Linked DNA regions of Struthio camelus. The protein of the gene in region 1 binds, or shares a complex with, the protein of each later gene. Links are inferred from orthologs where the notes say so. Each region holds a gene or a part of one and is shown on either strand. Other genes may lie near its edges.

Region 1 (15,729 bases):
GCTTGTGGCTTGAACCTCCTCCCCCTCCCAACACACATACACCCCATGTCATCTCCAGGGCTCCTTGTACGCAGCATGAACTCCCCACACTGAGCCCCAAGTCTCCCACACTGTTTCCTTGCCCCAGTTATCTGTCCCTGCCCTTGCTCCCCATTCTCTGAAATAGCCCTATGACAACCCATAGTAATTTATTCCCTCTAAAGTCCCTTCTGAACCCAGACCTCTGTAAGGTGGGAGGACGCACCATTCTGGGAGGGAAGGCTGCTCACAGGGCTCTGAGGGTACTAATCAGCCTCAGTGGCCCTGACCAGCCTCACCTGGGAGCCCAATGCACATTCAAAGGCAGAGATGAGGGAACAGAATGAAGATACTATAGTGATATCATTTGTATTAGACTGAAACAGAAAAGTGGCACACAACGTTGATTTTTATGAGAGATCATTGGGAGGCTACCTGAGTAGATAACAATACCATTATTGTAGTGAATAAGTAGTCTATTAAAAAAAAGGGTTAATAAGATTTCTGTTATTGTTCTTCATCTCATTTTAATCCCTGGTCTAGTCAGGGAAAAATATGGCAACCAATTACTTTTCTGATAGACATCTACCCAAGGAAGCTTAAGGCTAGGGACTGGCAGTACTGAAAAGAGAGAGATGTCTACACAGCATGAGGCAGAGGGTGAGCAAAGACTGGAGTCACTAGGAACTCAACTAATGACAGAGTGATGTGAGTAAGAACTGGCATGTTCAGCTGTTGGCACCAAAGTGTCATGGAAGAAGTACACAAAGTGCTGTCAGGGACTATTTCACAGCTGTGAGTGACAATCCATAGCTAGGAGGGAGAACAAACCCATCAAGAGTGTCTACATGCTGGAAGAGCAATGCTTATTATTTAGTAGTTAAGAACCTGGAATATTTGCCTCAGTTAATGCAGGAATACCATGGATCATATACTGCAGTAACTCTGATCTGGGGTCAATTTCTTCAAGAAACATCTGTACATGGTGCAGCTCCCACAGCCCAGATGGTTTCCCCCTAGGGTTTGGCATAGGTCATGCATGCAAACCACAAGCATCATGGTAGAAAAGCTACTCAGATTCCACAGGACAGTCAGACTAGGTCAGGTTCAACGTACTTTCCTTTGCACTTGTGTCCAGGATCAGCACACAGTGTTCACCCTTCCATATATACACATATCACATGTTCCTCACACTAAGAGATACCTATGTCCCCTTCTTCTGCAGTGAAGCAGCCGTTGTCTCCATTTACAGCAAGCACTGAATTCATCCTGCAGTCCTTTTACAGATGAAGAAGTTGCTGTCATATGACTGAGGAGGGGGAATCAAAGCTGCCTCTGCTATTGAAGGTTTGGAGGGATGCAGTGATGGCTCCACCCAGGAAGGCTTACCTCATTTATACATAGCCAGAAGCAGCCACAGAAGCAGCTCCTTTTTATCCCCTCTCCCTGACTTGGGGCTATGAATGAGTGTGAAAAAATATTGAACTGTCTGGAAGCATTTGCTGATTAAACAGCTGTTGCTCCCTTCAACATCCCACAGGCAAACACTTGGGCCAGGCTGAAGATGCCGGGGAGACCATGGTCTAATATCCATCTATCAGAGATTACCTATAACATCCATAATTTTTCACATAAGTCTGTTTACCTTTTTGCAGAGTGGTTCATTTTGCAACTTTTGGGCAAAATTGTGATTTTAATTCCACCCACAGAAACTGTCTCAGGTGTTCACCAACACTTCCTTTAATTCCAGGAACATAGTGCTCATTTTATAAGCTATGGTTGTAGCCACATAGAAACTCACACGCTGTCAGTTTCACTTCAAAATAGTATAATCCATTATATTATTTGCAGATGACATTCCATATTTGAATTCCACTACCACATCTTTTAACTACCACTTTAAACACCACGAAGCTAATAGAAATAAAACTGTTAAGTTAGTTGTTTTTAAAGGATACATGCATTTTATCACTTATTTGGTTTCCAAATGGAAAAACAGTTTTGAAGTTTGCAATGTGTAAAATTAATTTTTAAGTGCACAGAGGGTAATTTTATCTTCTTTTGGTGAAGAAATAGGATAATTGGAATAATACTGAGATACGTTTTTGTAGTGAGGATAATACAGAAAAATGAAATTGATAATTTTCTTAGATGTGACTAATTATAGCCTGTGAATTGTCACTTGTCCTTTCTAATTTGTGATAATTGATTATAATAAATTAATTACTAAGATAGATAACAGATAATTTCCCTAAAACTGGTTAAAATCCTTCGTTACAATGTTATCGAAATTCTCTTATAGGTTAAAAATAATCATTCATCAGATGCCTGCCAATTATAGACTGGCATAAATAATAACAGTACTGAACATGATGTAGAGACGGCCTATAAAATTTGGGATTAAGGAAAGAGTTTAAGGCTATGAACTTCACAGCTTCTTTGAGGTTTTCTGCTATTTGGTTTCAACATATGTGGGTTTAAATTCTCCAAGCTTTGGGATTATTTGAAAAGCTCAGAATTTTAAAGAAATATTCATATGGAATTGCTAATATCCTGTTTACATGTACAAAGAGGGATTTTAATGAGTTGCAGTCAGAACAAAACCCATGTCTCTGTCTGGGCCTACATGAGTTTGAGTTTTAAACGGATTCACAGGAGCTCTTGAGAAACAAATCATGGCAGCAAGGAATATTATAGAATATAGCTGCAGTTTTCTGGCCACCCACAGAACATAAAGGCTATTTTGGTCTCCACCATTCCTCCAGTCAGATTTTAAGATTACAAGCCATGGTGACAAATGACACACTATTTTATATAAGTGTGCCAGATACTGGTACATCACTTTCCATATTTTCTTGGAGTTTAGTTTAATCTAGTTGCGGGGGAACAAGAAGGAATATGTTCATAGCCTTTTCTGGACTAAACTGGGTGAATTAATACTAGTCTATGAGTAGAATTTAAAAATAATATTAACTCATCAGAAACTGGAAATTTTCTCTAAATTTCTACTGCAATATAGGGAGTACCAGGAGCTTGATGCTCATAGATGGCCTTGTGACCTACTTATTATATAGCATGTTATACCCATTCTTGAGGGAATTACAACAGCCATATCTTTTTCCGGAAGTGGATATTGAAAATATATTAATTCTATTCTGATGGAAAAAGAAAATCTCATCAATGCTGTGAGTTTCACTTCAATTTGCCTTTTGATATTCTGCTTAATGAGATCTTCTTATAGGCTGGTAATATCTTTTTATTGAGTATTTATTTTCATGTGAATAAATAAAAACTGATACTTTCTAAGAAATTTTGGGGTCTATTTAAGATACTTTGTGACTAAAACCAAAGCTGCTTCTAAATGAACAGCACCCATGCCTCAGTTTCAGTTTCAGATTTTCATGCTCAAAATGGGGGAATACCTTGCCTTCATTTACAGACTGGAATGTATTTGATACAGCTGATGGCTTCAAACTGATAAAGAGCTAAGTTCTGTCAAGGAAAGAGCATATAATGGTGGCTAGCCATGGATGTTTTAGCAGACCTGCTAGGACTTGCTACATGAATGGATGCCCCCTAACTTGCACTGGTTTTGGATAAAGGTCTCTCTTTTTTTTTTCCTGATATAATGATGCGCCTGTAACTTCTTTTTCAGGCCCTTAGTTCTTTCTTGTTCACTTCCCAGCTCTTTCACAGTGAGGAGTTACATGCCACAGATATAGACACAAACGTCTGGCTGCCAGATGTCAGAATCACTGCCCACAATCAGAGTGAAATATCCTGTAACCAGAAAGATTGGGTTCTGCTTAGGAGAAAGAGGACAAATAGCTGCTCATAGATAGATAGTCAGTACTGTTCTACAAAGGATGTCACGACTTTCTTGTTGAGTGACATCCTTCCCTCCACCCCCACATCTTTTAGCCAATACAATTTGCTCTTCATCTTTATCTTTTATTTCCTCCATTTTAACTCTCTTACTCCTCTGTCACCTCATCCCTGATGGACACCTTGAATGGTGCCAGTTGGCTAAAGCTGCACAATCTGCAGCAGAAGCTACCACTAGTTTATGTCATACCATGTAATATTTTCTAGTAAACACTGCCAGTAACTACACAAAAACCCTTCTGGGTCTCCCAATCTGACTTTAAATGTTGACTCATGTTCTTGATTACTTTCTAAACCTGTATGAAATATGAATTTTGTGTATGTAAGAATCCTATGCTGTGTTTGTGCTGCCTGAAGCAAAAATGTAATACAATACTAATCTTCTAATATTATGTAAAACTGATAGTCACACATACTTCATACAATCATGTGAAATCTGCCTGATAATGTTTTTAAAAATTGCACACTTTTCATCTGCTTTGGTAGAGTTTATCTTCAGCATATTCTTAATGCTAATAAAACTTTTAACTGAGATATGCATGTTTTAACAAGCATGGGAAGAGCTTGAAAGCTCTTGCAGCAAAAATTGCGATAACTTTCTCTTGTGAAAATAAAACTGTCTTGCTTACATAAGCAAGAGTATCACTCTACTCTTCATCTTCACATAAAAGAAAGGTAACAGGTCTCTGTTAGAGATGACAGTTCTTCCTACAGCTAGGAGGAATATGGCATGTATTGATTAATCTATATCCAGGCTTGCGAGTTTTAAGGAAAGGTGATTTCAACAGCTGAGGCTGTCACCGTTGGAACTGCATCAGAGCTATCCCAACAAGTAGTATTTGCTCCAGCCAGGGTAGTTAAGAGATTGTGAAGGATCATTCATATCCACTTTATTTAAAAACTGTGCTCTGAGGCCTTTCTCAACAAAGCAAGAGCAAGGATGGCTGCACTTCTGCTTTACTTCTGTGTTTGACTCAGACGAGTTTTCAGTTCACTAAATTTCACTCATTATTTCAATTCTGAGAGATACATGTATTAGGACTTGGATGGTAATATATATAGTTGCAATCATTTATTTTTTCAGTCTTGTCAGGAGAACTACCTGTTCAAACCATTCAATCTGCGGTAGAACCGGAATAGGACAGATAGCTTGGTTAGCTTGTAGCTATCAAGAAGTCTGTTAACATCAATCATTATTAAGAAATAGGGAAAAACAAGAATCTGTATCTCTAGATGAGGACCCAAGTACAAATCTGTTCCATTAGCCATGAAATCCATCACTGCATATTCTTATGCATTTATCAGCTGCACTCTTCAGAGCAACTCTATTATCTTTACATTTAGCTTGTATGGAGCTGTCTTTTTAAAATCTTTTCCCCCTGAATAGCTCACTGCACATTACTGAAGTTAATATTTATAAAAGGAATTCATAAGGAACAAAAAGATTTTTGTTTGCCCCAGCTTGGCAGAAGAAGACTTTTTAACCATAAAATGTAGAAAAAATAACTTTTCACTCTAAGAAGCCTAAACAACTGTATGGAGGAAAAATGCTCGAAGAGGAGCTACACAGAAGCAAAGCTAAATCTGCTTTCACTGGACGTGTAATTTTGATCACCCTCCCTGAAAATCTCTGCTTGACTAAAGAATAACATTTCCAAGAGCTAAAACGGGGCCCAGAGGATACGGATAAGGCAATCTAGCGACAACAACCAGCCTGGCCCGCTCTGGGGGCCAAACTTAGACGCAGAAGAGGGTCCCTCGGCTGCACCCGACGCTGCCACTTTAAACCGTGGGATTTATTTTTTTTTTTTTTCCCTGCTTTCGTAGCTCCACATAGCGTCGGTGGGATGAAACGAGTCAGCTCCGCGCGGCCCCGTCCCGCCGAGCAGAGCGGAGCGGAGCCCCCGCGAGCCCCCAGGCGCGGCGCCCCGGGCTCCCCCGAGGCCACCGGGGGGGGGGGGGCAGGAGGAGCTTGCTGCTCCCCAAAACCGGCGTGAGGGAAGCAGGCGGTTAAGGGACGGCTGCGTCTGCGAGGGGCCCCGCGGCGCTCTCTTTCCTCCCGTTTTAATTTTCCTCCACCCCCACAGCCTTTGCAAAGGCGGGTCGGTGGCTGGCGGCCCCCACCCCGCGGGCCCGGCTCCCCCGCACTGGCAGCGCAGACGTATACGTGCGTATAATACACCACAGGGCGCGCATATATGCCTATATATATATGATCTGCCACGTTATGCTATATCATTTCAGCACTCTCCGACGGGTGGGGTGACTGCTGTACGGTCTCAGTGAGCTCCGGCTGCGGGGCTGCTTGCCAGCTGTTGGAGATAAGCAAGTGCGAAAGCGCAGGGCTGCGGGTGCGCAGGGGATTTAGGGATGCGGGGTGGAGCAGCCCCCTTTGCCACCTGCTGCTTGCCGGGGGTGCTGCGCCGGGGTGCGCCCGGCTCCCTCCCGAGAAGCCCCAGGTCCTGGCTCCCTGTGGAGGAAGGAGCCCAGGCATCAGCCCCCTCCCTCGTCCCTGCAGTCCTGGCACAGCAGCGCTGCAGAAACCCGCATCCTCTGGATCCAGAAAGGCTTTGGCCTCTCAGTGATACTCGATGTCCAACACAGACACCAAGTGGTTTATTCTTCCCTCCCTCCCTCTTTCGCCTGTCCCTCCTCCTTTTTTGTCCCCCCCCCCCCCCCGCCCCAAACCCAGCACGGACCCTGCTTGCTGCCATGTTTTAGCCACTTTAACTTCCAACTCCTCTGTTGAAACAAAATTAGATGACCCGTTGACCGTGGCTCCAGGACAAGGGGATGCCGAGGCAGCCCGGACACGGTGTGTGTGGGGGGGAAGCCGTGCTCTCCCACTTGCTCCCCCCTGCGCCGCCCCGCAAAACCAGCTTGCAGGGAGCTGCCAACCCCGCGGGGGGCTGCGGGCCCCCAGGTGCCGCTGGCAGCTCTCCGCCCGGCGGCGGCCGGGCAGGCTGCAGGGGCGGGACGCGGCCCCGCCGCCGCCTCCGACGCCCCCTTCCCAGCTGGGGAGCGCTGGGCGCCGCCCGCCCCCGCGCGCTGCGGAGCGGGGACGCGTTCTCGCTCGTTTCTCATGTCTTCATTTGGTGAAAAATTAAGCAGGGCATCGTTCCCTTAGCAGGTGGGAGAGCGACAAAACCCAAGCGACATAGCCCAAAATTAGAGGCTGGCAGATTAGGAGGGATTACTTGACCGAGGGAAGATGGTAGCATCTAAAAAGAAAACGACTCTGCCGCTTCAAGTGAGTCTGTCAAAATAAACCGCACACATAACTGCTTCTAAATAAGGGGGTTGATATGTTATATTTTCCGTCTGGCAAGCGATCAATATATACCCACTCGCACAGTGAGGAGAAACCGCATCCAGTGAAGTTCAGCAAGAAGAGGGGCATAATAAGGCGGAGGTCAAAAAACTTTTCTGCCTGGGCAAGGCAGAATTTCTCCTCACTGAGAACTCACAGGGGGGCAGAGGGATAAGCCGTGACCGGGGGGGGACTGCGTTTCGGCAGCGCGGGGGCCGGCGGAGGGAGCGGGGTGGGGGGAGGGAGGAGGACCGCACTTTCCCCGCGGTGCCCCGCGCAGCCGCCCCCTGTGCTGCCTCTACTTGCGGCGCGGCGCGGAGCGTAGCGGCCCGCTCTGCCGCCGGCAGGGCCGCGGCTCGCCGGCTTTGCTGGGGGCGGCCCCGGGGCGGTGTTTCGGAGCGCCGGGGGTGGGGTGGGGTTGGGGGGGGGTCCCGAGGGCGGGCATCGCCGCGCCGGGCTGCGGCCGCGCTGGCGGCGCCTCTTCGCCTCGCCGCGCCGCGCCTGGGCGCTCTCGGCCGCGGAGGGGCGGCGCTGCCTAGCCGCGCTCCCCCGCCCGGTGCCCCCGCGCCGTCTCCGCCAAGGGCGCGGGGAGCCCCCTCGCTGCCGCCGGCGCGGCGGCGGCCGGGTGAGATGCGGCGCTAGCGGCCGCGAGGCGACGCCGCGGGCATCCGAGCGCGACTGGCCGGGGGCTGCGGCGGAGACCATGGGCGGCCGGGTCGGGGGCGCGCCGGCCGGGCTCCCTGCGCGCTCCGGCTGAGCCCGGAGATGCCCCGGCCTTTTGGGAAATATTTTGGAAATCGCTCGGAGAGGTCCGAGGAGGGCGAGCGGCTCTGCGTTTCGCCAGCCGAGAGGAGGTCGCCCGGCGGGAGCACACAGGCAAGTGAGTGTCGTTTTTTGTTGTCCTTGCGCTGCATGAACGTCATCTCCAGTGACTTTTTTGCAGCTTTGGGTTTCTTACTCGCGGTTTTGGAGGCAGCGGCCCCAGCTGCAGTTTTGGCTCTCCGGCGTGTCGGTGCGGGAGGTTTGTGGTCGAGGTCGCAGCGGCGCCCGGTCCAACTCCGGCGAAGTACGACGAGGGCAGCCGTACGGTGCAGGACTTGGCGTGCACAAGCGGTAAAGCGCAGCGCTGTAGTAATCCTGTGCTGCCCACTTCTGCACCTGTAAGAAATGATGCATTATATGTGCTAATATAAAATGTCTTCTGCTTTGTGCTAGGCTATAACTTAATTGCAGGAGTCCCTTTATTGCTTTCCAGCAGTGGCTCTTGGAGGAGAGAGGCAGGGTATGTGTGTAAGCATATTTCATACCCATCTATGGGTTAAAATAGTGAACCTAGAGAGTTTTGATTTTTATGCCTTTACTTTCTTGTGTCCTGCCTGGTGATTTTCTTTTTCTCTGAGATGCTGTTGCTGTGAGGATGTGGTTTCTCCAGCTTTGTTTGTTTGCTTTAGCACATGGATTTTTATTGCTCTACTTGTTATTGCTGTGAAACAAAAAGTTGATTTCAGTATATCTCAGCACGTAGAGCAGACACGGGACTAATTCTGCTCTTGGAGGAACTCCGCTTTGAAGGAGCAGACCCATAGGGCTGTAATCTCTTGCTAAAAACTCAAAGATCTCTAAACAGGGTAGTCACGCTGAAAAGAATGAATTCTCCTGGTCACCTTTCAGCACGCATAGTGTATGAGCTAACCAACCTGCCTGCTCCTCTCTATGAAACATCTGTCTCTGAAAGGTAGGGGATAAAGAGGATTCATAAAGTGAATTCTGGACAGGTTTGGGAGAAGACAAAACTTCAGACTGTGTTTAATTAAGTTTTCTCTTATTGATTTCCTTGGTGTCTTCTCTATGAGTCTAAAAATGACAATCTTTTACAGTAACCTTGATGTACATCCTGGTCTAACATGAAAGCATCACAGAATAAAAGGAGTTACACAGATTTATAGCTGAGCTCTAGCATTTCACTAAGAACTCAGTTCCAGTGAACATCCTAGTTTCAGCAGAGACACTGGGCATTATGAGTGAGTGGACTTGCGGAAATAACTCTGTGATAGTGATAAAAGTATAAGGTGCAATGTTGGAAGCATATGCTCCTGCAGAAATATCAAGGTGTGTGAAATGTTTGTTGAGTTTTGGATATTTTCTTCTCTAATCGAAGAGAACTCTGGCAAAAAGTGTGTGTGGGGGGGGTAGTGGGGGGTGCTCAGAGCTTCCCAGGTTAATGCACTTTGATTTGCCTGCACTTGTTGGCTGGGAAGCTGTAAGGAAGGGATCTTCTTATGGACTGAAACACACACTTTACATGAATGCGGAGTTAACATAATAGGATTAAAAGGCATTGAGTTGGCAGTACTGAACGTGTAACTTGAACGAGTTACGCTTGAAGGTGCAACTAACTCAAGTTTATAGCAAAAAGTAAGCCTTTCCCATAATAGTGGATGAAGTTCACTGTGGGTAAGCAGTCTGAGAGGAATGTCACTTTGTTTCAGTGCAGTTTCAGGAGAGCTTTGTTGTGGTTCATATTCCTGACTGTGAAGATACTGTGAAAAGCAATTAAAATAACTGTTGCTAGACACTGGGGCACAAACCTGTCCATTATTTAAAGCATTCAGCTTCTTTTTGCGGCTTATCAAAAAAATCTGTATCTTTTATCAAAGTGTAGCTATGGACTTATTGTAGTAATTCCTTTCTCTGTTGCAGAGTGGCAGGCTTTCACTAAGTGTGTGCAAGAGAGATCATAAAACACTGACGCATGCACTGAGCTGGAATTCATTGGGGCTATACATTACATTGATGGTTTACAAAATTAACATAAGTAACTGCTTATACCTGATTATACAGATAAGTGGTTTTTGAAAATTATATCAGCTTTGCCGGTTCTGATGCAAGTTACAGAGCCCTTTTCTTCCTTTTCTTCTTAGTCCTTCAAACTAATCTAATGCTATACTCTGTCTTTGCCTGGAGAAGAAGAAAACATAATTTAATGATGCATCATTTGGCTTTTGCAGTATCTTGTCCCATAGCTATGAGATAATCCAATGAAGGTCCTTGTCACTGAATTAAAGAACATGCTGCTCTAGCCTTTCACCTATAGCCAGTTTTTCATTCTGCTTTATGGCCAAAGAACTGAGTTTTCACTGAGTCTGGTAGAAGAAAGAAACATTTCTTTTTCTGTTGAAAATTTGAAAAGAAAGGGGAAAGAAATACCTGAGTTCTTTAAGGAAAGAACTTGCTTACTGTAAGGCTATTCTAGTATTTTCTTTCATGTTCTGTATCCTAGTTTACTTGTATCTTTTGTATCGGAGATTGCCAAAATACACTATATTCAACTTTATGGCATGTATTTTTATTTTTATACTATGCAAATTAATAGAGAAGATGTTGATTTGATTTAGAAAGTCCAGGGCAAGCTTACAGATTGCATTCCTTTGCTAATTTTGTTATATCTGCTCAGGCATGCTGTTTGGCTTGCCAGATATAACCTTCATGAATTGACAAAATATGTCAAGCTGTCCAGTCAGTACAACAGAGTTGTCTGAGTCACTATTCATTCATCTTCAATCAAATATTAAAAAAGTAGTCTGTTCTTGACTCTTCTTCACTCTGAAGTGCTTGAATAAGTACCATTTCTTCATGCTCGTAATTTAGTACTGGTCTTTGTGGCTGAGCTACTGGGAAAACTGTGATACTGTCAAAGGCTAGTCATCACCACCTTTGCTTGCATACATTGTTTAAAAAGGTAAGAAGTGGTAGCAAGTAAGAAGTGTCAAATGGATTTAATGTATAGTCTTTCTTATCCCTTCTCATGGCTGTACTTTCAGTTCAGGTTACCAGAGAGAGGATTAGATAGGCTGAATCCCAGTTTGTCTGCTGCATCAACGCATACGTCTGACAGTCTGAGGTGACATCATCTCAGCATGGTTACACACCTGACTTTCTGTATTTGCCCTGAGTTTTACCTTCCGTAACTGGAAGAGTCAGAAAGCCTTACTGTCATTGTGGCCAGCCTAAATTTTCTGCCTTTCTATTCCAGGTCAGATGAAGGAGAGAAAGCACATGTATTGGGGGATGGGGGGGAGAGTATAGATCATATCTCAAAGATACAACTGGAACCAACAGGAGCAAATGTAATGGAGGCACTGTCAGTGAAATTTGCATGAATATTTAATTTTCAAAGGGAGGAATAATCCATCTAGAGGGAAGGATTTAGTGAGTGATGCGTCTACTCTTTATGAAGAAGAGGAGCTATGTAATACAGAAACAAAACTTTCTATGTTTTTATACTCTGCACTTCAGATGTACCTGTCACTCATTTGGCACTCTGAACTTTTGTCTTCAATAATTAGCTTGAGTTGGCAAAAAGTGGTGGAGCGCTCACTTGCATGATGAGAGTCTCGAAGTACAGGAGCCAGAGGCTGGGTTGTTTCTTGAGGACTTGATCCCATTGATTTATTAAAGTAATCGATAGAGAATGATAATAATAATTAAGAAAAAAATAAGTGTTTGGGATAAGTTTAGTTTCATGACATGTTCTCCAGTTAACATTTGGTAGCATTGGACAAGAAAGTTCTTTACTTTAATAATATCATGAGAGTAATAGTTGATACGAGTTACATAAGTGTAATTGTTCTAAAAGATGACGTTTTGCATATAAGACCAAAACGTGGTTAAATGATATTGTTGGATAAGGTTTGCTGCCCTTCTCAGGTATTCAGAATGACTTCAGTGGTAAAGGACCGGGTAGTTTGTGTAGGGCTGTGCTGTGGCCTTTCACTATAAAGCAGGAGGTCTCCCATGCCAGGAGCTGAACACCACACGTCCATTTTGTTGTGAGGGAAGAACTGACCCTACCCTGAACAGCACAAGCCCTGCAACAGAGCTAAATGCTGAAACTGGTGCTCAACACAGTTCGTTTCAATGACTACTGAAAGTCCTATGTGACATGTGGTGGAGGGAAAGGAGATGGATGATGGTTTAATGCTTTAATACTTATGTTGATACAGCATCTGCGAAAGAGCTCATGGTTTCAGAGTTGCCATGAGTGCAATTGATTGTTGGCTCAATTGATTATTCTGCAGATAGTTATAATCTTTATATAATATCTAGATTGTTGGAATTTTTTACTTCTTGTTAGATATGGGTATTCCTGACTCATTGGGTGAGATTTTGGTTCAAAGGTTTGGTTCACACCTTTAAAGCTGATGACATTAAGCGCTTCCAAAGTGTTCATTGCGTGGAACTTCTGAGATAATGTTAGCAAAGAAGCAACAATTTATTTGTAAGATTATTCTGAACTTTGGGTTTATTACAATTTTTTGTTCAGTCTCAACATCTTGTTTCAAATAGCAGGCAATTTACTAGCTTTTTTGTGGATGTTAGAAGTAAGTCTGTCTAAGTAAATTTTATGTCACTTTTTGTCAGATAATTTAAATAGACTTACATTTAACTGTGAACAAAGGCTGTGTGAATAAAACAAAACACATGCCTTTTTTTTTCCTCTGTCTAGTGTGTTAAATTTATTTAATATAATATATATGTATCCAGAAAGAAGTAAGAATGGGAGTGTTTTTAAGATATTACTGTAATTCCTCATCTTTCTCTCCAAAGCTGAAGGGAATTTGAGTTCTGTAGAGATGGCAGACTCTAGCCAGTGATCCTAATCCCATCTTCTGATTCTTTTCTTGGCATCTAAGGTTATTGTGCTATTTTTATTGAATTCAGTGGAAAATTCTGTGACTTCAACAGCTATAATGCTGTTGGAAGTCTCAGAAGTCTTCTCAAAGCTTGATATTCATTCATGATAAAATTATTATTTGACTAACTATAAAACATTGATTCTTAATCACAGAATTGTTGCTGAAATTCTCCTTATGAAATGCTTTGATGCTAATTCTAAATATATCTTTATTTAAAATTATGTGAAATAGCTTTTTCTGGTTGCTCCACATAGTAAAATGTTTTGATTGACTATTTTAACAGTTGAGAATAATGAACTGTACATTTCAGCTTTTGCAACACAAATGGACATTGATTTTCTTTGGCTTGCTTTTGACCCCTAAAGAAGTAAAGCAATTAGAATTATGCTTGCAGGAGAACTCTCTTCCTTCTTTCCTATCATTTTATGTAAATTCTAAGCAGCTTTTTGAGAACCGATCTACGTTAATCAGATTTTGTTCAAGTGAAAAAAGAGGGGAAAATCATCAGCTCTACAGTTGTCTGGAAGCTGCAGATTTCCTCACACGCAGCTGTCTGCCTGTATCCATTACCAGTTTGTATCACAGCTGTATGTCCCTGGATGCAGAAGAATTCACAAACAGTTCTTCATACAAACGTTTTAATCCGTTATTAAATTGCATACATTTTTGTGGCAATATATTGTTATTATCCATGCAAAGCAGTTGTTCTGTAACAAAACATACACTGATGCATTTATAGAACTCTTCACTGAAGATGGGATTTGAATAAAAATCAGCATCAGGTCTGTGTCCCTATGGCTTTTTAAAATTTGGAGTGTCTTTATTCTAATTCTGTGGATTATGTGTTTTGCTTTTTTATGGAACAACTTTATGAACACAGAGTGTACTATATAATAAAAATACTCTTTTCAAAATCAGCTTTAGGCTTTATAAAATGGAGAAATGGATTTAAAAGCAATCTGGGGTTACAGTTCGAAGAAACTGGGGCTGTTAACACATTATGAATGTGACATGATTGGCTGCCGTCAGGGGTGCAGTTAGTAGCAGGGCTCCCTGTTGGCAAACTAAGCAACTCTATTAATGTAAGTGCAAAAATAACTACTTTATTGCTTCTCCAGCTGAAGCAACTTCTCAGTCAAATACAGTGGCATTCATGAAGGAATTTCACTGGAAAAAGCTTGCTGTAACTGTGCTAGCAGTTGGTAAGCAAAGTATAGGGAAATCATGACATTGTCTGAAGATTATCATCTCTCGTTTTCCTTTAAATTACTGAAATTGGGAAAGACCTTCCTGGATAGTTGAATACACAAATACAGAATTTCTGCACCATGTCGTTGGTCTTCCAGCTAGTTAATTCTTAAGTGTCTGTGCTAATGGTCCATCAGATGCTTCCTTTCACCAGTTATTGTATTATGCAGTTGTGAGGTCGTCTCATTTTTTTCTTCTGATGTCTTAATTGAAATTGCACAAATTTCAGAATATTCATCTCATTTATGCAGCATGTTTTCACAACATTAAATAGCTTCCTAGTATGGGGAAACTGATCTCACTGATCAGTGTTTGTACATTCTTCTTGTTGTATTAGGATCTGGCTTCTGAAAATCGCTTATATAGCTATATTTTTGCCAAGTTGTCGTCTTTCTTTTAAAACGGCAACTTCCTGGTTTTGAAAGATGGACTGTGTAATTTATATATTACATGCTTTGACTAACGGAGAAATCCTATTTTCAATATTTGTGATTTGGTTTATCTCAATATCCATACTCAACATGCCCTTTCATATACATCTTATTACCCCTTTTTTTTACCTGTTCATGATGATATAGTACCTTGCATATTGATGTTGCTGTGTTACTTTTTCCTGAAATGAAAATATAATTAATACAAATATAAATATAATTAATATACAGCCTTATTTGTTTTCCTCATGTAATATAGTTTCCAATCTATTGATTGTTTCCTCAAGTCTGTGGTTCTGTAGTTTTTGTGCTCTACTTCTGTGCATCTGTATATAACTCTGTTCAAATTAATATATTATCCTTTGCATTCTGTGTGTTTGTGCAACTGAATCTGTGACCTTTCTCCTTTTGAAATCAGACTTTGATTTTGACTTTTATAATTACTATTTGTTATTACATATTAGCTGCAATTGTATAACTACAACAAAGGCATCCTTTTTTGTGGAAAAGCATTTTGGGAAATCGGAAAAGGAAATATTTTGGGGATCAGTTCAGTATTGAAAAATTGCAAGAACATCACGCAGATTTTGTGATGGAGGTATATGGAAGGAAGTGTAGGATGTGGGCACTGGAACAGTGGAGAAAAATTCCTGTGGTAAAATATGAGTTCACATGGTGTTTTTGTTAGTTTATTGTTTTTGCCCTGCTTCTTTTTATCTTACCACAATGAGCCTCTGCTGGATTTTGCTGTCAATTTTCAGGAGGAAGTGCAGTGAAGTCAGTAGATACAAGGCAGTTTGTTTCTTTAGAGGTAGCAAATCCAATCAGAGTAATCTGGACAAGCTTCTGCAAAGGTCTTACACTCCCCAAAAATTGGTTTAAGGCATTTTTAGCCTGGTACAGCTCCCTGCTAAGCTTCCAATGCCCAAAGGGGGTTAATATTGCATGATGGCATGTTTTGGGCAAAGAATTTGTCTCCAGTAGATACAGCCAAAACGTCTGCAAGAAGTAGTTCTCAGAATATGGCAGCAACTACAGCAGATTATGTTATTTTCTAACAAACTCGTCTTGTAAGAGTGCTTGCTATGAAAGATTCAATCAGGAATGCCTTTTGATGGTTTTACTGTTTTCAATGTCAAGA
Region 2 (15,832 bases), on another chromosome or scaffold:
GTGCATCCTTCCCAGTCATAATTTTTCTCTATTCATTCAGCATAAACGTATGTCTTTAAAATCTCATACTCAGCATCTTCCTATTGTTTGATTGTTGATGAGCAACAGAGGGAGGATGCCAGCGCACAGCTGGGAATAGGGCTTGCTAAATTAAGCTGTGGTCTTCACGTGGGTTTTGCAGCAGAAAATGCACAAATGGGTGAGTGAATTTCCTCCTAATATGTCACAAATAAGGGGCTAAGAAAAAAAAAAAAAAGGAAGTATTGATTTTAAATTTATTCAAATTTGAGGCCTAATTTATTCAGAGTAAATGACAACACTAGATAAAGAGAAGTCATCTGGCAACAACTGACATCCATCAGAGTTCTGTCTCTGATGTAACCAAAAGCTATGAAAAGCCACCTGAAATTTTAGCTCTGAAGTATAGGGAGAAGTGAGGAGTAACTGCTGAAAAGAAAGTAGCTATATTTGCAATGGCTGTTCCATATGCACCTATAACTTACCACGGACGAATGTTTGAATCCATAGGTTTTGAAAACACAGGGGGAGATGTATTACTTGGAGTTGCATTGCTTTCAAAGCCATCAATCTCCAGAAAAAAGTGTGAACTGTTGAATACATTGCATTAAAAAGTTGTTAGTAAAGAGGCAAACCACCATAAAATAAACAAAGCAGTACCCATACATGCCTTGGACAAGCTTGACAATTTATATTTTCTGGCATCGTATCTAATAAGATGCTGGCATAGAGGCTTATCTACTTTTCCCCGGGGGTATCCCAGCCTCAAATATCACGCCCAACACTTTTGTGCTGACAGATGGGCAAAAGATCTTGAGATATTTTAGGAGACACGGTATCAGATCCTGACAGGTCTAAGCAGCCACCCCAGCAGTCTAAAAACAATCTTGCATCCAACCTCTGTGCAAACAGCTAAATGCAACACCAGTCATTTATTGAAGAGCCATACATGTGTGTGTACGGACATACATATGCACATGCTTTTTAATCTACTGCATTCTATCCCCTATATGTCCAGCCAGAAACCAGCAAGATGGATTGTTCCAAGCCTATCAGCAGTGATAAACATTAAATTAGAAAGCTGGAGAGGTCACATGTTAAATGACATAAGACTTTTCCACCCCCAGGACTGAATGTGCAATGACATTTAACTATAGCTATCTAAGCTATTCGTAGGGAAAAGAAAAGAAATGTGAACCAACACAGGGAAAAGGACCATGAGAAAAATAGGAAGATTTATCCCTTTAAAAGCCTGTGGGGTTGGAGGGAAAGTCAATAGCTTGAGATTACTAGGTCTCATTAAGCCATTGTTACATTTCATCTAAGACAGGGGAGTTTCACTGATGAATGCAGTGATTCCCACACGGCCTATAGTTTAGAATCTGTGTTATCTTTCTAAAATGTTCTAGTAATCACCTGGAAAATATTTCAAATTCACCTAATATTGGTGGCTTAGACAGTGAGATAGTTCTTCCTGCCCCCCCACCCCCACCTCCCACAAAGAATGCAACTGAATTAAAATACACACATTGATGTTAAAATGCAGTATGTTATTACATACAACCTGTTGATATCCACTAAAAATAGCATGATCTAACATCCCTCTCATTTTCCAGTGTCTTGGTGCTCCAAGTGTCAATTCGCTGTGTGTAGACATTTAAACTTACATGACCTTTTAACATCTGAGATGTGCCTGTGAATGCATTCTAAGCATGCAGCAAACAAAATGCCACTTCTGGTGAGCAGGACTGTGTCCCTGCAATTACTTAGGCAGCGGGGCATCCTTAACAGTATAGGAAAGACCTAGACAGAAAGCGGACCATTGCCATTACTTACACCACACTTGTCAGATTCACAGCTGCTGCAAATCACTATTGCTTCATTGGGATCTGAATTTGGCAGAGACTAAGAAGGAGTGGAAAAAACATGGGTTCATCCTGCTTTTTTGCATTCCCTAACTATGATGTGCAGGATCTGCCTCAACAGGCAAACAGCTTTTGGTGGCCTTAGTGAACCTCCAACAAGCCTGGAGAAGCACCACACTTGAGGCTTTGCGGACCGTCTCCCCTGCCTTTGGCTCAGCATTGGAAGGGAAGCATGTGCCACCGGCTGATGTCCCCGAGAGCAGCTCTTGCTCTCCCAAAAGTGCCTTCATGCTGAAGAATTTGGCATCCAATGGATTTATAGCAGCTATGAAGTGGGCCCTATTTTGGAGGCTGACATACCTAACCTATCCCAGCACGTAGGTTATTTGGGGATACTACAGGTGTAGAAAAGAAAAAAAGCCATGCAAAGCAAGTCGACAACTGCCAGAAAATACCCAAGTGCTTACGTGGCCGTGGTGCTCACTGTCAGGAACATTACCCACACACACAGTCAGGCTCTGACAACGTTGTCAACGCTCCTCCCAGCCTGCCTGTTGGTTTTCCTGTACTTAATTATATACTGTTAGTTCACCCAAATACCAAAGGGGCTTCAAGAAGGGAGAAGTCATTGTCTTCATAAAGTACATATCGCCAACACATCTGACAAGTGAGAAATGCCACCCATGGAAGCGTACTAACTGCTTAGTGGTACAGCACACCAGAAAAAAACATTTTGAAGCAAAAGAAGTACAGCAGCATAGGAACACATAATTAACAGAATATGTTAAACCTCTGTATTAAAATTCACATGATCTTCATTCCTTATGTTACAGGAACGTTGTCTGCCACACCCTGAACTCCCAGTTGTGAGACGGGAAAACCCCCGAGGTTACTGTTATTGATGCCACAAAACCGAACGTGATATAGGAGCTTAAGTAACTCAAGGGCAGTATTTGTCAATATTTGCTGTAACTAGACAATCTTCCAGGGAATTGCCTGTTTCTGAAGTACCAGGTGTATTGTGAGCTCTTCAGATACCTTGTCTCACCCTTTTACAACTCGTGTCATGATTCAAATGAAGAACTTCTTTTGAACTTAATGACAGAAGGAGAAATTAGGCTACCCAGGCAGTAGGTCTCAAATAACTAATTATACCATTTCTGTAGAAAGTGATTCCTCCGATTATTAAGAATTATAAATGTCAGCGCAGCCACAGTTCCCTGGACCTTGAAAGTTCCAAAAATTGCTATAATAGCTAGTAATTAGGCACAGAGTGAAAAGTTTATGAATGAAAATTCATGCTCACTCTACAGTAACTATCAGGGATGAACGACTACTTACATTTCCCTATTCACATTAAATACAAACCTTTAATCCACATCTTGATTCTCCAGCATAAATTATACATGAAAATGAATATTTTATTCTATAAAATAAAATAGTTGAGAAAACTCATTGATCAGAATCATGAAAAATAGAGTGAATTCAGGTTTCTGTCTGTGATAGGATTCCTCAAACCGCCTGCTCTGCCAGCCCTCATCTTTTAATTTCACCTCTGTGTCCTCATTATCTGTCACGTTCCCATGTGAGGCTAAGTTTGAAATGATCCCTTTTTCCATGTCAGCCTCTCTCTTATTTAAAAGCCAGAGTATCCTGCCGTGTGATCTCTTTAAAAAGATCTCTCCACTTTCTCCTACTGAAACACTGACCATTGTTAGATCATGTTCTTGTAGGCTTATACAGACACAAAGAGTAGATGCAGAAAGCCCAGCCGACATGAGACACAAGATTAAGATTGGTGCGTGAGTATAACGTCCCTGGCATAGGAATTACGTCTTTGTCCCATTAAGGTGAAAACATTACACATCTACCAAACTACCAGGATAATCTTCCGCTTATTAACTGCATAAGTGCACTATTTTTTAGGACACCTTGTGTTCATCAGGCCCATGTCATTCATACACACTGGAGGAATAAAGTTGTTAGTAATATTTCAGTGCTAACATCTACTAAAGGAGATAAAAGAGGTAGTTTTACTGTTCTAGAATAAGCTGGAGTCCTACCTTTTCTTTGTGGGAGTGCTTTCAGTCGTCTTTTTCTCTTGCTGGTTTGAAGGGGGAACACCAGACGGATTTGCTTTCTTGCCCATTAGTGGAATAATTTCTTTGTTATCTTTAATCATGTTTCTGCAGTAGATAGATCTACAGTTATTTAACTCCCTGGTCATTTGAAGAAAGCATGGTGACCAAATCGCCTCTTTCCACTCTCTTCACATGTAAGCGCACAAATCTTGACATTTTTTTCAAAGCTTTTCATTTTCAGTTACTAAGCACATACACACTGTTTTATGTGTCAAGGTTGGAAGGTTATATTCATGACTGATTAAATTACATTCTAATGAAAGTGGGATAAAGAAAGATACCATCAATCCAGGAGAATCATAACTTCAAGTATGCACCTAAGTTAAACTGAAGGGAGCCTGTCAATCACAATGACAGCATATGTTATTTAGAGAAACAAAACGAGCAGAATGACTTTTGTAAGTAGCTCCAACGTTTGTGCACCTCTGCAGTTAATCTAAGGAGTCTGTTCTTACCTATCCAAGACAATTTTAGGAAACTGGTAAATTCCAGTCTGCTGCAACAGGTACAATGTGTGAAGGAAGGTTTCAGACATGAAGCGTAGCGAGCAGAGAAAAAGCCCTGAAGTTTTTCAATGTATTAGAATAAAAGAAGCAATAGGCAGAGTCTGAATACTAACCCCAGGCAGAGCTCAGCTAAAAACAATCTTATCACACGGATCACACCAAGGACTTGTGTGTCCTAGCAACACTTCTTAACATTTCTTCAGGAAAAAAGAAAAATCATGACTCTACTAAGTGTGAACAATCACCACCATGTGACACAAAAGGACCTTAGTGCATTTATCTGCTTATGAACACTCACAGCATGAAATCTGTAAGTAATAATGAATACTTATCTTTCTATTTCTCAATATAATACTTAAGGGCATCATTTTAAATCACTGAGGATAACTTAAAAGCAAGAGAGTAAATTTAGGATCCTTTAAAAATCCATTGCATGTAGAAATAGCAAGTTTTACAAAGTCATGAATCCCTTCCCAAGCAAATCAGGGAAGTGCCTTCCATAACCAAGGACATACAATAACAATCACTGCCTGCAGGTTTGAACAAAATGATTTTTCCCCTCCTGTCTCCACTTTCCTTAATGTGACATATGTGCAAAGAAATTTTATACTCCTGTCACAGTACTGTCAACTAGAATTTCTTCATGATGGGAATAACAAGATGCAGAAAGCAGACTGTGGAGTGTGTGTGAACAGACATGATCGCTGGTGTTAGAGAGGCGATGAATACATGGAATACATTGATACTGGAATGAAAATCCATTAGTGCGTGTATGACAATTGTTTGAATACAGGAAGATCTTCAGTCCTAAGGATAGAGGACTGAGAGTTTGCAAGGCCCAAACACCTGTAAATGCAATTGTAATTTCTTGTAACTAACAGGAATAGAGAAGAGAGCTGAAATACTTGAGAGTACCCTTTACCTTGAAGGGGTTTGTACATATCAAAAATAAAACGTTACAGTATTTTCTACCACTGGTAGACATTTTTACGTGACAAATGTGAAACCACGCTAATGCAAATCAGAAACATGCATAATTTGGATGCATTTCCTGAGAATTCATACCACAAAACTCACAGAAATAAATCATAAAGGACAAATCTGATGTTACTTTACACACTTGCAAACAAAGGACACACTGTGGTAGGCGTATAGAAGAACAGAACTTAGATGTTACATAATTTGAGGTAGGAAATAGAGTTCTGTCCATGCCTTTGAAAAATGCAGTACTGTAGATCTGCAAACACATTGTATTGGTTATTAAAACATAGCTAAAACAAATTACTGTTGTCTTGTTTAGTTCACAAATAATTCTGCTATTTACTTCTTGCAGAATGCCTTAAGAGTACAGTGCAGTTTATAAGCGCATTAAAGGCATGGTTCTTGACGTACTAAATGAGGTACTTGACGTAAATCAAATATAAGGGGACTAGAATAAGATGGAGACTGGCATTAAATAACTTCACAAAAGAAGTGACTTTAGAGAAAGAGAATAGCTGGAAATAGACCAAGAGGTAGAAGAGCAGGTCAAACAGGGGGTTGTGCAAAAGGAGTTGCTGAGCTGAGATGGGCACGGCCAGCAGGTGTGTGAGAGCTGGAGAAGTCAGAGAGAGCAGTAGGAAGAGCTGGAGAAAATAAAAACTGAGGTTGACGTCTATAAAGCACACAAAGGACAGGGAAGAGCCGCTCATTTGTGAGCGATGCCAGAGCTGCTCAGATACAATAGCATGCTTCTGTATGGGCCAGCTGTGGGAGAGCAAGGTTAAGCCCCTTCTGCAGCCAGTTTTCACAGAAGAGATGTTAGCAATAGCTTAAGAGTAGGCAAAGTGGTTCAGGAGATGTAATGTCAGAGCACTGAGGTTGTACTGTGTAATGAAAGACAATTGAACCATCAGTGATTTAAGGAAACAATTTGGGGAAGAAAAAGAACAAAGTTTCATTTTTGTATACACGGACTACAGCTTTCAAAGGCACTTGGGAGACTGGACTGTGTAGTGCAGCCACAGAGACAATTTTAAATGAGATCTCAAGTCTGCACAGGTAAATAACTGCAGGCACTGTGGAAGAAGTACCTTGTTACTGTGCAGAGGTAGCATCTGTTTCTCATTCGTAATCACGATTAATTGCAGGCTCCGATGAAAACCAAGGTAGGGCTTTTCACAGTATGGCCTACAGAGATCACTTCGTGTTCTGGCTTTATCCATGCAAATCTCATGGAAGTTAAAGGAGCTTTTTTTTTTTTTTTTTTTTTTGCTTATCAGCTTCTTCCCTCCCTCTGTCTTGTTAGTTTAATGACCTACTACTTTCATCATCATCAGAGATCTCCCCCTGCACTATCGTTTTCTCTAATCTATGATTTACAGAGTAAAAAAGCGCAACAGTCCAGAGAATGCCCAATTATATGTAGTGCAGCTTACATAACCTGATATGGAGTGCCTTCTTTTGGTGCAACTATTTTTTACTTTCATTTTCTAGTTAATTGTTACTTTCAGGCCACCAGAGAAGTGGTTTATTTGAAGGGAGCAGTGAGACAAAAAATACTATGTTGATTTATAGTATTAAAAATTAATTTGGAGGGGATGGTGAGTACACTGAGGACTTAGTATCTCACTTCCAGCGTGGTGGGGATGAGAAAAGGCCATATATCTGCAACGGTGAATGGGACTCTGCCACTCTTACAGCAAATGATACTCTATGCACTACCACAGACTCTCCTCGTGCTTATCTGAGACCAAGGAAAAATCATACATATTTGTATCTCTGTAGATCAATGATAGTATAAACACAGTAGCTAAAGACAGAATCATACAAATGACAAGAAACGCTCAGCTGTGCTATCATGGGACAAACTCTACTTCCTTCAGGGCAGAGGAGTGGAAGTGACTAATAACAGCTGTTTCATTCACAGGATCCTCCAAACATCCACAGCACAGACCACCCTTTCCAGCACCTACAAGCTAATTCGTACTAGCTCATAGAAAAAATATCATCTTTCCCCTGGGGAAAGATGATAAAATTCCATTTTGGCTTTTGTGTATTATTTATGATATGGTATGAATCCAATCAGGAGAAAGTTACTCTTGATAGAAAGAGAGTTTCATCTTTCTGTAAGATTTTCGAACTTTTGAGAGGCTGTAGGAGAGATTAGGTACTATCTAAATGTGTTTTTCTTCTTGGTGAGAAATTTGTTCTTTCCTAGGATTTTTTTTTTTTTAAGAGAAATTAAAAAAAAACCCTCTGTGAAGAGCAACCTTTCTTCCCTGAGGAAAATGCTTTAAAATTATTCACCTGCCTATGCCTATTTTAGACAAAAAGAAGACATTTTAATGAGCTGAAATAAAGATTGTTCCACTCAGCCAGGTATTTTATTTTTGACACTCACTACAGTAACTGAGACTTTCAATAGGAGGTGAAAATATTATTTAAGTTTAGTTTGTATGACAGTATATGTTGGATCCTCTTTGCACAGAAATTAGGAAATGCTATCGTGCGCATCAAGGTGAAAAATATACATGAAATTAGCTATATCTTTTTTCACTTCTGAATGCCCAAGGAGTCAATGCGACATGGCTCAGAAGAAAGATTAATAAACTAGAAAAACAGCAAGAAGCACAACAGAAAAGCCTTCTCCAGTTGAAAGATAGGTTTAGTCTTTGTCTTTTAAAGATTTCATTCTCCATAAGAGCGTCACACCTAAACCAAACACTCACAGCAGCTCTCACACAACTTACCATGCTCATGAAACTTGCATTCAGGTGTAGAAAAGGCACCTCAGAATTGTAGGATCCTGCTGACACTGCGACAACATCCAAAAACACTAATATACCAAATGAGTAAAACTATAATCAGGCTCCAAACTATCTGAAAAATGCAAAACCACCCTCCTTCAGTCGACCAGGTTTCTCAGCTGATAGAAAGCACAGAGAAGTGCAGTGCTGGAGTACTGCAGCCTTACAGGATTTGTTACTTCGTAAATTAGGGAGCTGAGAGAAACTTGCTAGACAACAAACTTTACTTCGTAACTGCCAAAGTGGGATGACACATATACACGTAATAATTATTTAGTAGCACCGAAGTGTTACTAAAGCTGAGTCGCTTAAGGCTGACTTACTGGCAGCAGTATAGTATCTAAAGCAATCACAGCCCTCTGCAGTTTACATACTGTTTTCAAAAGAAAATGGTTATGCACATGCATTTGGGTTGCAAATGACATCCCTTTATGTCATGCTTAGTTTATTGTATGTTATGGTACCTTTCAGAAAGCACAAGGTGAAAATGAGAAAAAGATCATGATAAGTGTTCCAGAAAGCAAAAATATTCACTGTTACTTTGAGAAAGGAGAAATGGGCTTAGAAAATCTTGTATTTTCACAGTGATAATGTCTGTGATGCAGATGTCTTTAGATCTTTCCCTAACTAGTTTTTGATGAATGTGTACCTTTAGGATCTGCAAGGATACAAACAGGCATGTTTCACGTACACAGTACCAGTGTTATTTCTTGCTGTGCTATCTACAGGAATTAACATTTTTCAGCTTTGCTCATTTTGAGCTCTTGAGCAACTGCCAATACAGACTTCTTTATGGGACATGCTGGATAGAGCTTTTCCTTTATCACCAGAAATAGCATGTTTAAAACTTGCACATCTTTGTAGCAATGCCCAAGAGATGTTCTTATAGCTATTATTCTCTCCTTTACAGACATAATAGAAGCGGGTTTAAGGGGATTTATGCACATTAGCCAAACAGAAAGCTTCCTCAGGCTATAAACAAGGGAAGAAAGTGTCAAATTTGGGGGGAGGTTGGTGGAAGGTAGATAGAAAATTTAGAAAGAAAAACAAAATACCTTAGGATGTTAAGACCTAGAATCAGACTTTTGAAATCTGAAGAATATGGCTTTAAAATACATCCACAAACTGTAGGCAAACCCCTCTTGTTCATCAAGTAGATCTCTTTAAAGAAGAGGGCTGCTGAGCATTATATTTGCCTCAAATCAAGGTCAAATCTACGACGTGAAATACCAGGGAGCACTACCCTGTCTCTGGAAGTGAATTAGCTTCTCATAACCAGTGTGGTGAAACGGGCCATGCTTAGGCCAGCTTGATTTTGCACTGCAAGACCTTTGGTTGGATGTGCTGAGCACACATCCAGCTTTGCCTGAGGCAAATTTGTGATGATATACTCCAAACCCTGCACCAGGAAGGTGGTTCACACCTTGTCCAATGACTGTGCTTAAACTAATATACACTACAATATTGAGTCAGCTGCTTTGATAGTCTCCCAGCTGCTGGTCTACTCACTGGAATAAGGTCTGAATACTGGCATTTAAGCTTGCCTGGGAGAGAACTGACTTAGCTGTCCACACAAACAGCAAGAGAAGACTGTTTAATTGAGGTCATTCTGAGGCAGGAGAGCCACATGTGAAAACAGGCAAAGTTAGATTAAAACTGGGTGAAGGTGCGTTTAAGGACTCTAGGTTTAGCTCGCATTTAAACCACAGTAAAGACTAGTTAAGAAATTCCTCCGGTAAAGAGAGAGGAAATGAATTTGGCAGCAAGCACCTTGGACTCAGAAAGCAGCTAGATCCGAAAGGACCCAGATCTGCGTGACTTAGCACAATATAGGACCTAGCAGCATGGCCTATTTATTATGTAGTGGCATTTATCCAAAAAGAAAAACTAGGACAAGCTACAGAGAGTTGGACCCCTGCATCAAACCTGCCTAGGAAAAGGTGTAGAGGATTACAAGAGCTGTAACAGTTCATGTGCTTGGGAATCACACTTCATCCTGTCTGATCGGTGTTAAAAGCTTCTCATTCCATTATGAGGACAGCCTTGACTCACTATAGCTAAGCGTGACCTTTTCTGTGCAATTGTCAGATTTAGGAAATGTGAGCCTAGACTGTTTCTAGCTAATCTTCCTGAAAGCAGACAAGAATGGCACATGTTATACTTAGGTGTTGTGAGCTTGAACTGAGTTATTTTTAAGGGTAGACCTAAGAGGCAGGAAATGAGAGGCAGAACTACAGTAAGTCACATCTGGGCAAACATTTTCTTATGGTTTTAATCATTAACCCGCTTAACCTTTATGTTCCCAGACCTGTTCCACCCTGAGATTTCTGACAAGGCTAGCATTTTTCAGAAGCCAAGGAGAGTTTTGCAAGAGGCTGTATCATGGCTGTGTAGACCATTTTACAGAGTTTTACAACAGTTACCAGCTGCTTCAATATCAAAAGGGCCTCAAACAATAACGTTATGCTGCTTTTACCAGTTACTAACAGAGATGACATAAAGGTCAGGAACACTAATAACTAGGCACAGATTTCCTATCAAAAAATTACTTGAAAACATTAGTTTTGGATAATCTGCACAGTACCAGTAAGCAGCACATTTGCAGCCTATTTGGCATGCATTATTTTGTTTTTCTAACAAGCGCTAGACTTGCTAGAAACTAAAACGAACAAGATGAAGGAAGCCCCAGATGGGAGGGAATGAGCATTTGGAGATCTGCCATCTGACATCAGGGAGTCAGAGCTGCATTTTCTGTTCTGCTGTTACGTGACATGATCAGAGTCAAATTCGCATTAGGAAGTTATTCAGATTACATCCAATTCTCTGACTTTTGCTACCCCAACAGGGACTCACTAAGAGGAAAAGCCATTGTCTAAAAAGCATTTTTAACATTAATGGGTAACAGCAAGAATAATTGTAAATTACTTATTGCCAGCATTCCATTCCCCAAACTCCTTAAAAATAATCCAAAGTTTAAGTATTAAAACATTGTGCCTGCCAAACACCCGTATCAGCCAGCTCCCCTGAGCTTAATATTTGATTCAAAAAGAGTCTTTCATGATTTTTCACTGTGGAAAAAGTGCATTTAAATTCTCTTCATTTCTGCAGAGAAGAAGTCAGAATTGTTGTTCTGTTTTGGGGAGGATCCACAAGAGATCACATACAGACTATAGTTTTAAAAGAATGCGTATGCATTTAATGCTGGTGGCATAGTTTATGTTGAAGAACCACATGAAGATGTTGTTCAGTAGGGTATGATAAGAAACATCAGATATTATCATTTTCCCATAGGCTTTCCAGCCAACTTGAAACCAGATACAAGGAGGGAAGAAGGTGGGAGAGGAAAGGAAGGTCACAACAGCGTGCTGCTGTGCTACCCTCACTAGAGTATAGAGAGGGTGCTTTGCTGTTGACAGCGTGCTTCAAGAGAGTAAACGCAGAAGCCATTCCACAGGGAATGCAGCAAGGCAGAGCTTTCCTGATCTTGTGGGCTTGCTTTCTAATAGTGAACTCCTGATTTTAGCAGTTGGATTTTCTTTGTATAGGTTCAGTCCTCAGCATTGAGAGGATTCACATTATTGATTTCTCTTCAGTTAACTATGATACAAGCAGCCCTTGCAATAAGTCTTTTTTTATGCCATCAGAAAACATAGCAGCAGAAAAGAGAGATGCTTGTCTATCCATCTTAAATCAACAAATTGACCTTGATTCTTAACACTTTCCTTCACAGGGCATTTTACATAAACTGCATAAGGGAAAAATAGTGAAATAACTATTGGTTAATAGATCAGTGTTACTATCTCTCTCCTAATTTCTCCTACTGCGAAAAATGAAAGTCTAATCATTCAGAACTCTATCTGAACTTAAAGAGATGTACACTCCTGTTTCAAGGTTGCTTTTCTATTTTCACAGTACTTCATAACAAGTGCTGTCCTAGAGAAAAATTCCCCTTAGTAACTACCCTTTTAGAGATACAAGCACTTTTTAGTCAGTTCTATAAGTGATTTGATTTTTAGTAATTGTACCTCACTTTTCACCAAATCATTCCTTATTTGTTTTCCAGATGTTGTTGTTGAAATTCTCACTTTCTGTTTAAATATTTTCACTCTGAAGTGTGCAAGATAAGGGACTTTGAGGAACAGCTGAACTCTGTCCTGAATTTGTTTTTACAGTGATAACACTTTGACATGTACACAGTGCAATACACCAAGTAACTACTTAAAAGCACATTTTCAGATGCAGATACTTCAGCTAGCAGAATTAAATACTCCTGACTGTGCATTAAGTACCCAGCTTCAGTAACATTATCTTCAATATAATGCTCCCCCAATTCCTCCACTCTTAAAGTTAAACTCATTATAGGATTATATCTGTGAACTGCTACACCTGTATGGAGAGCTTTGCACTCCCATCCAGACAACTGAATGGCACTTGCAAACATTTAAGCATTAGGTACACTCTGAGATAAGAGATTGCATACAGCTGAGCAATAGAGATATGTATTAGGCTGTCATCTAACAGGAGACAGCCTGGGGGAAAATCATTCCAGGAAAATACTGGGCTATCACCTGACAGTTGGTACAGTCCAGACTGCAGGGACAAGTCAGCCTCTTCAGTAACATTATTACACACATTTGCTTAACATTCATACCTGGAATTTTTATTCCCTAGGGATTCCTGGCATAGAATAGTAGTCATTCACCAGAGGACAGAGAAGCGTTACTGCAGCCTCCCTCCATCACGAGGATCTTCTCTGCAACTATGTCACCATGCATGCAGCTTATTTGTTGTCTATTTTTCCGTCAGGAGAAGTAAAAAAGCTGAGCCTGGAACACTGAAGGAATAGTACCGCTGTTGGGACTGTCAAAACTACCCAGCAGCCAGACACCCTAATTATTTTGCTGAACACAAAAGCTAAATCTTCTGGACCCAATTCAAGTAGATTCCTCTAGGTGCAGTTCTGATGCCCTGAGACTCCTTGCCTATCCCAATGAGTAATACTGCCCATGACACTCCTCAGCCTGTCTTTAATCTGCTCCTGTCTTCTTTCACAGCTAAGCTGCTAGCTTTGGGAAGAAGGACATTTCTATTTTGTATTTTCACAGAACCTAGCATAGTAGTGCCCTGATCCATGGCTAGAACTCACAGAGGCTACTCTAATACCCACAACAAGAGGAAAAAAGTAGAGAGATGAAAGCCTGATCCTATGTCCTAGCTTCCAGCCATTCCCCCATTGTCAAAGAAAAAGGACAGAAACCCTTTCTCCCTTTTTATATTCCTTCTCCACCTGCTAGTGCGCTAGTCCACTTGAATCACTCCAATTCCTGCACTGAGTGTCAACACCTGTGGCCACTTCCCTGCACGGGGAGTGGCTCAGTCATGAATTGGTTGAAATCAGTGTAGTAAAAATCCACTTTGTGTTAGTGGTACCAGCAATTGCCTTCAGGTCATAGTTAACCCCTCTCTTTGCAAAATTACAGGAGACTACATGAACACCAGATAATAATAAGTGATGGGAAGAATGATTCTGTCACTCTCCCTGTCTCCTTTCTTGTATCTGTGCTACTGGTAGTGCCCCCTGCCACTCCCAAGGTGCAAAGCAACAGGGCAGACCTACAAAGACCTTTGCCAGTTGTCACTCCATCGAACAGTGCTGTGTTGGGCACTTTTCCTTGTGTCTGTCCTGTATGTGCTGTCTGCTGGTGCTGTAGGTCACAGGCTGTGTGCAGTCAGCCAGCGATGCTCACATGTATATGCGACCTTCCGAGGCTTCTATTTTAGGAAGAAATAAAGCCAGTATTAAGACCATGAGATAGGCACTTTTTATTGCCATTGGCTCTGACTTCAGGGTCACCCAGAAGGGCACCATACCTCCTACATGAATCAACACGTAACACTTCTTTCAGATCTTTCAAAGCACAAACTCTGCTTCTCTGTTCTGAGACTCATAGATCCAACTAGGTCAGGGTTGTTCTCCAACTATTTCAGCCTGAGTTTGTACCCTGAGTAAATCTTCAGTTGTGGTGTGTAGTTTCTGGTAACACTTAGCAGTGCAGAGGAATTAAGCAATATGAAAATGCCTCAAGGAATACACCATGTACAAAGCGTGCCCCACCTATATGCTAAATTTTTTTGCCCAAGTCTGTTCTGCTCCTGTTTGACTCAAGCAGCCTTTTGAGGGTAATCACCAAATCCAGGGAGGCACTTTAATATCAGAATAATTTCAGCTTGAATTTATAGTTTAGTCTTTGATTTTAAGAGTATCAAGCCTCCTTTTCTAAAAGGAAAAAACATCACCTGTGTCCTCCATCTAAACATGTGGAACATTTCTTTTCCCTTCCCCCCACAAAAAGCTGATTAGATCTGGAAAAAAAAAATCTGAGGCCAACCCAAATTCACCCACCGTCAGGTCCTACACTGTGAGCTAAATTCTGCATCAACCACAGCAGCACATGGGACACTCGCTAACTACAATAAATTAAAGTCTTTGCAGATCCCTTCCACTTATTATCATTACCTTTCTGAGAAAAAAGTGAAGCAGAATTCAAGGTGAACATCTACCAGTCAAAATTAATCATCTGATACTTTGGTTTCCCAAAAATAAGAGAGCTGAAACCTGCAGGTCCCATGTTGCTGCAGTCTTGATGGCACTGGATACATTTGCTTGCATGTGCTGAAGTTTGAATCTTCCAGGGTTTCCAACGGGAGTTCTTTGGGCAGACGCACATCATATATTATCCATAGATAGATCATCTTTTCAGGATGCATTTTCCCTGTTTCAGTTTCAAGCCATTTTTCTCATTACATCCCTTTTATTATGCAAGTCATGTCCTCTCTGTCAGTGCTTAGATTCCTGTTCCTTAGCTAAGATGCAGTTAACTGTTGCCACTTGTCCTTGCAAATCGGTCTCTTGAGAACCCTCTACCCATTTCCAGCCCTGAAATTCACTTTTCAACATCCTTCTGGTAATGAGGGACATCACTGAACTGATATCCTCCCTGTATCTTACTCTATGCCAATTAAACACTCTCAGCTTTCCCCTTCTGACTAACAGCAACTGAAGACACCATCCCTTTTCTCTGGGTGGTTCACTACCCACGTTCTCCTCTGGAATACAAGGAACTGTCTGGGCTAAACCTACTATGTGAGGTTGGAAATGAATGACTTCCACCTGGTGACATGGCTTAAAACTGCTCTTACTGGCTGAGTGAGTAGGATACTTCCTGTAACTGGGAGTTGCTCTTGCTGACTACTCTACAGCTGGCCAACGTGGCAATTCCAGGAAAGATGAGTTTTCATGTCACCGTTCAGGTCACTTAAACGTTCACAGAGGTCCATTGTAACGATGATGGAGAAATATAATTCTGCACAATGATGGATTCTGAAAACCACAGAGATTCTGTAAACGTTCATGTCTCCTCATGTCTGTTCATTGCCTGCATATTGAAACAGGAAGTGTTACTAACGAGGATGTAGCTTTGCCATAGAATCACAAACACACCAGAAAGAGAGAA

The links.
Region 2: the proteins of SNTG1 (region 1) and TRPV3 are in contact, whole or in part, in a crystal structure (PDB 7QQN), measured with the Homo sapiens proteins. The link is inferred for Struthio camelus from reciprocal best matches to the Homo sapiens genes SNTG1 and TRPV3. Residues at the interface, in NP_001274742.1 of Homo sapiens: Arg62, Gly66, Gly67, Phe68, Gly69, Leu70, Ser71, Ile72, Lys73, Gly74, His78, Ser85, Lys86, His118, Glu119, Val122, Arg126; in NP_659505.1 of Homo sapiens: Pro786, Glu787, Thr788, Ser789, Val790.

What each region holds. Positions count from the first base shown.
Region 1 is NC_090943.1:139,603,038-139,618,766, reverse strand, and holds the start of SNTG1 (gamma-1-syntrophin), read left to right. Parts: upstream 1-7,027; 5' UTR 7,028-7,153; intron 7,154-7,859; exon of another isoform or gene 7,860-8,093; intron 8,094-8,141; exon of another isoform or gene 8,142-8,373; intron 8,374-15,729. UniProt on the Homo sapiens protein: Adapter protein that binds to and probably organizes the subcellular localization of a variety of proteins. May link various receptors to the actin cytoskeleton and the dystrophin glycoprotein complex.
Region 2 is NC_090957.1:17,838,033-17,853,864, reverse strand, and holds the start of TRPV3 (transient receptor potential cation channel subfamily V member 3), read right to left. Parts: upstream 8,412-15,832; 5' UTR 8,262-8,411; intron 4,085-8,261; 5' UTR 4,066-4,084; coding exon 3,947-4,065; intron 609-3,946; coding exon 504-608; intron 1-503. UniProt on the Homo sapiens protein: Non-selective calcium permeant cation channel. It is activated by innocuous (warm) temperatures and shows an increased response at noxious temperatures greater than 39 degrees Celsius. Activation exhibits an outward rectification.